Linked DNA regions of Caenorhabditis elegans. The protein of the gene in region 1 interacts with the protein of each later gene in a pairwise test. Each region holds a gene or a part of one and is shown on either strand. Other genes may lie near its edges. The genes, in order: gkow-1 and T11B7.1.

What was found.
Region 2: the proteins of gkow-1 (region 1) and T11B7.1 interact in a two-hybrid assay, tested with the Caenorhabditis elegans proteins (2 studies listed by BioGRID).

What each region holds. Positions count from the first base shown.
Region 1 is NC_003282.8:10,355,901-10,360,796, reverse strand, and holds gkow-1 (G-patch domain and KOW motifs-containing protein homolog 1), read right to left. Parts: upstream 2,656-4,896; 5' UTR 2,652-2,655; coding exon 2,534-2,651; intron 2,483-2,533; coding exon 2,389-2,482; intron 2,242-2,388; coding exon 1,598-2,241; intron 1,300-1,597; coding exon 988-1,299; intron 878-987; coding exon 657-877; 3' UTR 578-656; downstream 1-577. Other genes in the region: R11A8.1 (DH domain-containing protein), read left to right, coding at 3,635-3,717, 3,768-3,885, 3,928-4,020, 4,065-4,835, 4,886-4,896.
Region 2 is NC_003282.8:8,838,904-8,843,390, forward strand, and holds T11B7.1 (Centrosomal protein of 162 kDa), read left to right. Parts: upstream 1-1,813; 5' UTR 1,814-1,821; coding exon 1,822-1,888; intron 1,889-2,170; coding exon 2,171-2,378; intron 2,379-2,427; coding exon 2,428-2,850; intron 2,851-2,968; coding exon 2,969-3,289; intron 3,290-3,350; coding exon 3,351-3,669; 3' UTR 3,670-3,902; downstream 3,903-4,487. Other genes in the region: T28C6.7 (Kinesin motor domain-containing protein), read left to right, coding at 12-529, 692-1,022, 1,237-1,269; T28C6.11 (uncharacterized protein), read right to left, coding at 760-980, 1,235-1,358.

The DNA.
Region 1 (4,896 bases):
ATAGAGTTGAGGGGAAGTGAATGACCGGATATGAAGAATAGACTCGGATATAATTACCCGAGATGAACGAGAGAAATGAGAATGACCGAGAATCGGTAGGAAGTCACACTTTTCAATTCAATATAGATAATTAGTTGAAGAAATTGGAGTGAAAGGATGAAAAGTATAGTTTTCTTTATTTGACCTAGTAGTGTGTTTTATTGGTATAGTTGTTATGTTCCAACCTGTTTTTGAAACATGTTACAACTAAAAACAGCATGGTTTTTTATGTCAGATGTTCCAGAGGTTCTAATGGAATGGATAAATGGCGTATCTTCTAGATGTGAAATTTGGATTTTTTGACGAAAATACAGTATAGACGCGACGATGAAACAGGATGTGCGCCTTTGAGAAGTACAGTAGTCTCTACACCTTGCTGCTTTGCATATACTTCGAAAGAAATCGAATAATATTGCAATGCTGAAAGGTGTGAAGACTACTGTACCTCTCATACATATTTTTTGATCGAAAAAATCGTAACATTTGCAAATGATCCGTAACTGGATTAAATTGTCACTGGTTATTGCAAGAGTTCACTATCAAGTTTCAAAAATTCATTGAAGTATAATGAATTAGTATTTTTTCAAAAAAAGTCATCGGGGAATGTACACATTTATTCACTCGTAATCTTCTTCGTGTCGAATCTTAACTGAACAAACATCTTCAAAGTACGCGGTAACCACATCGTTTGTCGCCACAAGACGTGCTGTCACTTTTTCTTTCCGTTTATCTTTATCAAGCATCACAGCTAGTTGGCCGCTTCGTTTACCAGCGACAATCATGAGCTTTTCACCGATTTCTCGAGGAATTACAGTTTCCAACCAGGATTGTCGGATATCTGAAATGATTTATAATCACGGATTTTTGAAATTTGGTAACAAAAACTATGAATTACTGTCAAGTCTATTAAAATTTTCAACATTTCCCACTAAAAGGAGTAAAACTCACTGTAATGAGTGTTCCCTCGATCATCTTCAATCGTTACGTCATTATCTCCAGCAACATCAACTATCCGAACTTTTTGTTCGTATAATGATCCTCGCTTGAAGTCTTCATCAATGAATCTAACAAGAAGATCCGTTCGAGCCCACATTTTATCATTTCTTTCGTATTCAGAGGAATTCTTGTCATGTTTGGAAGACGAAGACTTCGATTTGTAGTCCTTTGAAGATTGAGACGTGGACGTTGATGGTGGTTGAGATTCAAGCTTCTTCCGTTCTGTTTCAAGCCGATCTTTTTCTTTGTCGTATTCGCTTTTATCTGAATAAAACTTGCTTAATATTAAAATAATTGCATCAATGAGATGATTGTTATCAACAAACTGTTAGAACTCAGGAATTGAATTTAAACAGCTCAAAATTCTTACAAAAATCCTAGGATCTAATTTATGTAATTCAAAGGGTTTTCAGAGATTTATTGTACCATTTACAAATGATGTTAAAGCAAAAAAAATCATTTTGAAAGGGAGACTCAACGGTTCAAATAACCTTTTTAAAATCAATTTCAAAACTTGATACAACTTGCTTATTTTCAGGCTGCTAGAAATATGAAAACTCACTTAAACATTTCGAATCTCGTTCATATTCCTTCGCACTAACTGCAACAGCAACTATTTGACTGACTTTCATCGTTTTTCCTCCGATTGCAGTTCTTATAAACAATGAATTTGAGTCATCATCTCTTCCTTCGACTTTTCCATAAACACCTTTATTTCGCCCGTCAACTACTTTTATGAAGCTTCCAACTTTAATTTCTTCTAATTTTTCTTCTTCTGCTTTCGACGATTCTCCTGTATTTTTATTTTTTCCTACTGGATTTTTGGGTGTGGCACCAAGTCCGAGTCCAGGCGGTCGTCGATTCGGAAGTTTCAATGCGACTTTCTGCGGGTTTTTACCAATTCCATCACCATCTTTCCAGTTGCAACCTCTTAAAATTGCAAGTCCGAAGCTTTCGATGGGAATTGCAGAATAATCGGCATCTTCTGTATCACCGCGTCCGTCTTCTACAACAATTTTCTCCCCTTTTCCGCTTTCTTCTTCATTTTCTCCATCAATTCCGTTGGGTAGAACAAGTGCCAACTTGGCACGTTCTTCTTCTGTTAATGTACCAGCTTTCTCCTTTTCAATGAGTTTCTGAGTCCTCCAATCATGTTCTACTACCATTGGAATGACGGCAGCTTCTTTTGGTTTGTCAATATCGCCTCTAAAAAATAAATGAGACGTTTTCAAAAAATTTGATATTTAAATTTAAAAAAATTTAATCGAAACTGTACACCAAATTTTTTGTTGAATTTAAATTGGTTCACAATAATTTACGATTAATTTCTGGAACTTTCATGATATTACTCACTGAACGGTTCCATCCTCAAAATGCATAACTTTTCTTCTCTTGGCCGCTCTTTCCATCTCATTTTTTTCTCGTTCTTCATCACTGTCCAAATCGACTGAAAAATTTTAATTTTAATAATTTTTGAATTACAAAAGAAATACATTACCTTCAATTACAACAGCTTTAGCAGGCGCCTGAACTTTGTTCTCTTCTCGCTTTTTCACGCCAAATGAAATTTTGGGCATAGATCCTGCTGCAGGCTCCGATGTAGTTTGTTCCACCATCTCCTTATAGAAATTTGATGTTTTCAAAACTTGAAAAATTAAAAAACAAAAAAGTAAAAAGATTTTCTAAAAAAGTGTACGAGAGAGGATAGAGTTGACTGATTGAATGCAAGAGACGCAGAGTATTTCGAAAATTTCTGGCTATTAGGGCACAGTTGCAGCCAGCTTCACAGCAATTGTAAAAATCAAAATCGGAGAAGATTATTATTAATATTAATATGGAAACAAAAATGGGGAATTGTAATAAAATAGTTATTCGGATTCTGATTTAAAAACAATTTTGAGTTTTCAGACATTTTAAACATCAGTGAGCTGCCATAATACGCAATGAATACTCAACATCATTTTAAAAGTAATTATATATCAGATATCTGCCAGTGAAGACAAGAATTTTTAAAATTTTCAAATTTCATCCCCATTAAACGAGATAATTGAACAGAAGAACAGAAATATTGCAATCTTGGAAGACAAATGGAATAGAATTTATGGAAGAATGAATTGGAAAATGTTAAATACTCAAAAAAATTATAAAAGTCATGTGAAACAAATATACAAAGAGAGTCATGACAACAAGGACGAGCCGGAGTGCCATCATTAAGAAATTTAATAACGCTTTAAAAATGTTCTCTATTTTTCTTTGAATAAAATTTTTTGAATAAACATAAGATTATTAACAAATACATCAGAAAATTTTCGAAAATCGAGAAAAAAAACAACGAAATGAAAAGAAAATAAAATTGTATACCGTACTGCCGGATACGGTAGTTCATGCAGATCGTGCTAAGACCACTTGCAGCAATTGGAGGGAAATTGTTTTAGGAATCAAGCCTGGTGTTTCTCATCTTCTCACATCTTCTCTCATTCAATAAACTCAATTTTGTTTTATTGAAAATACACATATATTCTTTTTCCCTCTGATTCTCTATAAATTCTCTCAATTTTTAAATATTTCGTGATTTAATTTTTAATTTTCAGGTAAAACCATGAATTCTGAGAAGAAAGGTTTCAATGTCTACCCCAAAAAAGAAAATCTTCAGATAATAAATGCTTCCCAAGTGCCCTCTTCGTAAGTTTAAAAAAAAGTCGCGTTTAATATGCGAATGCTTTCAATTTTAGGCAATCAACCCGGCAGTCTGGTGTGACGACGTTTTATGATAGGGACAGTTACAATGGAAAAACCATCACATACACATCTTCTGCACCAAAGAAAAAAAGAACGCCTCTCAGATTTACGGTATTTTTTTTTGATAAAATTCTTCGGCGCTAATCTTTTCAGTATTCTCCCGAAAGAACGTATTCTGTAAAAAAAGCGAAATCCAGAAAAAGTGATGCAGCTTCTACCAAAGTAACTCCAGCAAGGAATATCAAGGCAATAAAACATTTCAGTCATCTTTAAACAAAAATTATTTTCAGAGACGATTTTCACCTGCTCCAAAAGAGGTCGAGGCGAAACTCCGGAATATCGACAGATCACGTGACAGGGTACTACAAATGTCACTCGACTCGTCAGGGCCCATTCATTACTTTCAAGATTCAAAAGATTTAGAAATTTTATTTGGAACCAAATATCAGGACGAATCAAATGAAAACAATTCCGATGTTGAGGAGATCATCGAAAATAGCAACGCTTGCTACGAAGAAACCATTTCTGAACGAGGAAATGAGTTTGATGATTGTCTTCCAGGATGTTCTAACAGTCATCTTCCAAATTACGATCATGTTGAAAACAATTACCTTCCTACAGCTAATTCCTTCCATTCCGAAGAAAAATTTCCCCAGGATTATACAGCTTGGGATAGCGGTGACAATTTTTATGATGATTTCAGTTTTCTGGAGCAAGTGGGTCATGAAGAAGTTGTTGAAACCTCGTACGGAGACGGCTATCAGGAAGATGAGATTATTGAGAGCACATGTACCTTCACGGAAACAGCCAAAGATTTTCAAGCAGCGAACAAGCATCAGACCTTTAGCAAGCAGGAAAATGTGGAAGACACGATTTTCGAAGATATGGATCAATCGGATAATCAGGAGAAAAGTGAACTGCTTGATGAAGTTGAGAATGTTGAAGCTACTGCGAATGAACTTGAAAAATTGGATGTTTCAATCGATCTGGAGCTCAATATTCTAAGCAGTGAGCAACCGAGAGACGAATCAAGATCGGTTGTTCTGTATGAAAAGAAATATGTAAGTTAATGAATTTGAATGTGAAAATGCTAATAATGTTTTTTTTTCAGTATTGTGAAAA
Region 2 (4,487 bases), 1.5 Mb from region 1:
TGTGTTTTCAGTTAACCGAAACAATTTCTGCTCTCCAATCAAAGTTGTATGACGTTCAATCAGAACTGGAAGATACCAAACAGAAGCTAGTCGAGGCTGAAAATTCGGCTTCAGGATGGAATGATGATGATGCGTGGAACAAAAATGAAAATGAAATTGAAGAAGTAAAGAAGGCATTGGAAATCGAGATTTCAAATAGGAATGATACTATTGTGAAACTTCAAAATCTTGTCTCTAATCTACGGCAACAGCTTATCGAGGCATCCGAATCGGCTGATCTGAAGTCTCTGGAAGAGTTGGAACAGTTAAAAGAAGAACTTCGCATTGTTTCGGAGCAGAATGGATTGCTTAAGGATTCGGAAGCTCGATTATTGGATCACGCTGACGAGTTCGCCGTTCAAATGGACAAGTATCGTGAGAAATGCGAAGTTCTGACAGCAAAAATTGCAGAACTGGAAGCACAACTTCAGAATCCTGCTGAAGAAGATCAACAGCAGAAGACATCAAACGTCGAGCTAGTCAAGCTGAGGTGAGTTAAATCTTTTTAACGTTTAAATGAATTGGTGTATAGAACGAAATTTTATTTTAAACTAAAGTATTTGATAGCATGTTCCGGACATGTGAAAATCGAAAAAATAAAGTAACACACAATCAGAAAATTAAATATAGATTTATATTAATATTATTTCAGACAACAACTTGCAAATGCTCAACAGGATATGCGAGTTCAAAATCTGACGATTTCTGATCGTGAAGGTCTTATCGCGGAGTATCGTCATCAAATTGCCGAGCAGACCAAGACAATTGAAGAACTTCACTTGAAACTAAAAACCTTCTCAGCGGCGGCTCGTCGAACTTCTCCACGAGTGCCAATGTCATCGAATGTACCAGCTCTCTCATCCCGCCCATCATCCAGAATGTCAACGTCGTCACGAATCTCAACCGCGTCTTCGTTTGTGCCAGAATCCGTGGCAGTACCACTACAATCAACTGGATCAGCGTTTGATGTCGTCGTACGACAGGTATAAATTTAGCTTTTCATATGATTTCCAGATGCCCAAAACCTAATTGATCACGTTTTCAAACTTAAATTCTTCTGAAAATGTTATCTATGTTACCTTCAAACATTTTTTATGGCGACATCTAAAATAGTGGTATTTCGAAAAAAAATCTCATTGTACATTCGGCCGATATCGGATGCGATACACAAAACCAAGTAATCAATATTACTTACAGAGTGGCGAGCCTCTTCGACGTCGTAACAAATAGATGAGATGACCCCTGTACGTTGCCCGTGGAGAGTGTGGTTCACTGTTTCTTCCAACACTACAAATCTCCAACATACCATTCATTTGCATTCGGTGTTTTCTCCCTCCCTCTTCTCGTTTTTAATCTTTTTTACTTTTATTCTAGGTCTGTCAGTTCTGTAGGATCCCTAATTAAGTAACTTTTCCTCAAGTATTTTTTAATGTATATTCGTAGATCTGCTAAACCTAAATTGAATCGATAATTTTTGGAAACCTTCTTTTCGAGTCGATAATATACATGAGCGTTCTGTTTTATAGTTTTCATCCAGATGACTTGCCCATACGTCATCGTCAAGAGATGACTGATTAATTTATTATTTTTTACATCCAAAGTGCCTTGATATCGGTAGCTAATCGAGTTTTTTGAAGGGTTTTCATTTGTTTTCTTGTTTATAATGCACGAATTGTATGGAAATGATTGTAGTTATGATATTATAAGATATGAATACGGTTTCATTTAACTTCTTTTTTTTAAATCTGTTTTAGTGCAAGGATTTTGGATTTTCAGAGAGTAATGTCAGGAATCAAACCAAGTGTTTCAAAAGGAGAAAGTCAAGCACCGCAAACAAGACAATTGGAAGGTAAACATTTTTGAAATCACAGTGTTTCATAACAGGAATGATATTATTTCTGACGTTTTTTTTTGTATAATTAATCGAAGCTGTCACATCGCCTCGCGCACGCGTGTATGATAGGTTCCATTCGCAATTTGTTCCTGGAAAATTACGGAGAATGAAAGAAAAAGTGTGACGTCATGCGGGTTTTTCTACTTGCGTTTTATGTATCCCGTCTGAAAATCTGAAACATCGATAGTCACGCAGTCCTCTGAATACTTTTCCTCGTGAATGTATATTAAATTTCAGCGTCTAAGCCTACAGTTCAAGGAATAATTGATATTCTTCATGATACCATAAGCTATGTCCAAGTTGAGAAACAAAGTAAAACTATTAATTTTTCCATTCCTCATTTGCAAATGATTAAAGAACAGCTTGAAAGTATTCAATTAAAAGATAAAAACTACAAGGATTTGGAAAAAAAGTTCAATGAAAAACAGGATGAACATTTGGAAACGTAAGTATACTGTTTTTTCGTAATTTTTGTAAGATTAAACTTGTTTCAGAATCCAGAAGTTAGATTCAACACTCAGCCGTCAGAAGCTTAAGTATGATGATATGAGACAGGCACTTTCTGTAAAAATCTATACACTCGAGAATGAATGTTCCAATTTGCAAGACAACTATGCTGACTTGCAAAATGATTTTGAAGTTCAAATTGAAAAATTCAAAAAACTTCAAAACTTGAAAAGTATTCAAAATCACGAGAATTCAAAAAATGTGAATCCTCTAACATTGGATGAGCTCACCGAACAGTTGAAACAATTCAAAGAAGAACTAAGTATTGATCAGAAACTGAAAAATATTCAGTTAACTTGTGAAGGACTACAGTCAGCTGTTGGAAATTTTGAAATGAATTCGAAAAAAGCTAAGGAAATTGAAATTCTTAAAATGGATATAAAGAAGACACAAGAGCTCTATGAATCAAGGTAACTATGTTTATCTGTATAGTCGACCGAAAACATAACATGCACTGCCATCGAGATATAGTAATCTGTTTGGCAGTGTAAGAACAAACATTTTATGTTTCGTAATTACTTTTTCCAGACTGCTCAGGGCTGCTCAAGAAAACAAGAAACTGCTCAGAAAAAACGATACATTGAAAAACTATCTTGATAATCAAACAGCGAAAATTGGAGAGCTCACAGCTGGAAACAAAACAGAGAATCGTTCACCAACTCCAACATTGCAGGGACTTATTGAAATTCTTCAAAAGTTTTCAGACGATCAAAAACTTGAACCAGAATGTAAGATGCTGCAGTTGCATAAAGAGGAGTGTCGTTTGATTTTGGAAAGTCTTGAAGTGCACGATAAGAAAGATCAAGAGATTCAGTGGTTCCAAAGACAAATTAACGATCAGAAAAAAAGGTAAGTTTTGACGAAACATTTATATTTTGTTGATCTTAAAAACACATAAAAATTATTACAGAATCGCTAATCTTGGTTGGTCATACGAAAATGCTCTTGAAGATAAGGATGCTCTAGAATTAAAGCTTGAACATCAATACGAGCAGATGATGGAATTGAAAAAGAATTTCATTCCGAAAAACGAAATTTCTGAGGATTTGGCGAAGACTGTCAGAAATTTTGGAAAACGTCTCAGAAATTCTCGAGGAAATTTGAAGAATGCGTTCAAAGAATTAGAAGCTTTAAAAGAAGTTCAAGAGGAAGAAGGCTCATCAGATGAAAGTTCTGAAAGCAGCGCTTCTGATGATTTACCAGATGGTGACAGCTCGTCAGAGGAATAGCATCGAATCAGAAAATTGAGATTTCATTGAAATTAAATGTACCTTCTTACAATGACTAATATTTTAAAAAATTTTAACTATTCACAAATCAACGATTTTCTTGTTATTCGCTCTACGATATATCATGATTTCCCATTTATCCGACTTTCTCTTTGTTTTCAAATTTTCTTGATTATTCTGATTAACTTTACACTGTTCCAACTGTTCTTGTTTCTGAAATAAAATCTTCCAATAAGTCCTTCCAAGAACCAAAGACAAACTTATGTATAAAAAATGTCACAATTATAACAGCTGCGGACGAGCCCGAACAGGTTGAAAGTCTTTCTCAACCTGTGGACAAATGACGGTCCAACAGCCGGTAATGGACCTAAGACGGCCTTCAGTTTGCCCGCTATAAAACCGTACGTATTAGCCAGCGGTGGGCCACTTTTCACTGTTGCCGCTTCAAATTTGTCATGGCTTGGAATGGATAGAAGATTGTTGAGACGATGGGTATATCAGATTTCTTATTCTGTTCGTAAAGTCTGGATCATTTTGAGATTATTCTGCGTCTAATGATACAATTATCTTATTTATGTTCCTCGAGGGTGTCATTTTTCCATGCTATCGATTTTTTAGACAATCATAAATGTTGTTAGGTTGACCGAAGGCGCTGGAAGATGATGAACATGCCCTAAATTTTTGACTTTTGACAAGCCAAAGTTTACATTTCTGTTCATTAGATCTTTGAAAGCAATTTGATTTTTGTAACATCGGATAGCTTGATTGTGAGTCACATAGGATCTCTCCGGTCTATTGACTTTGTGACATTTACATTA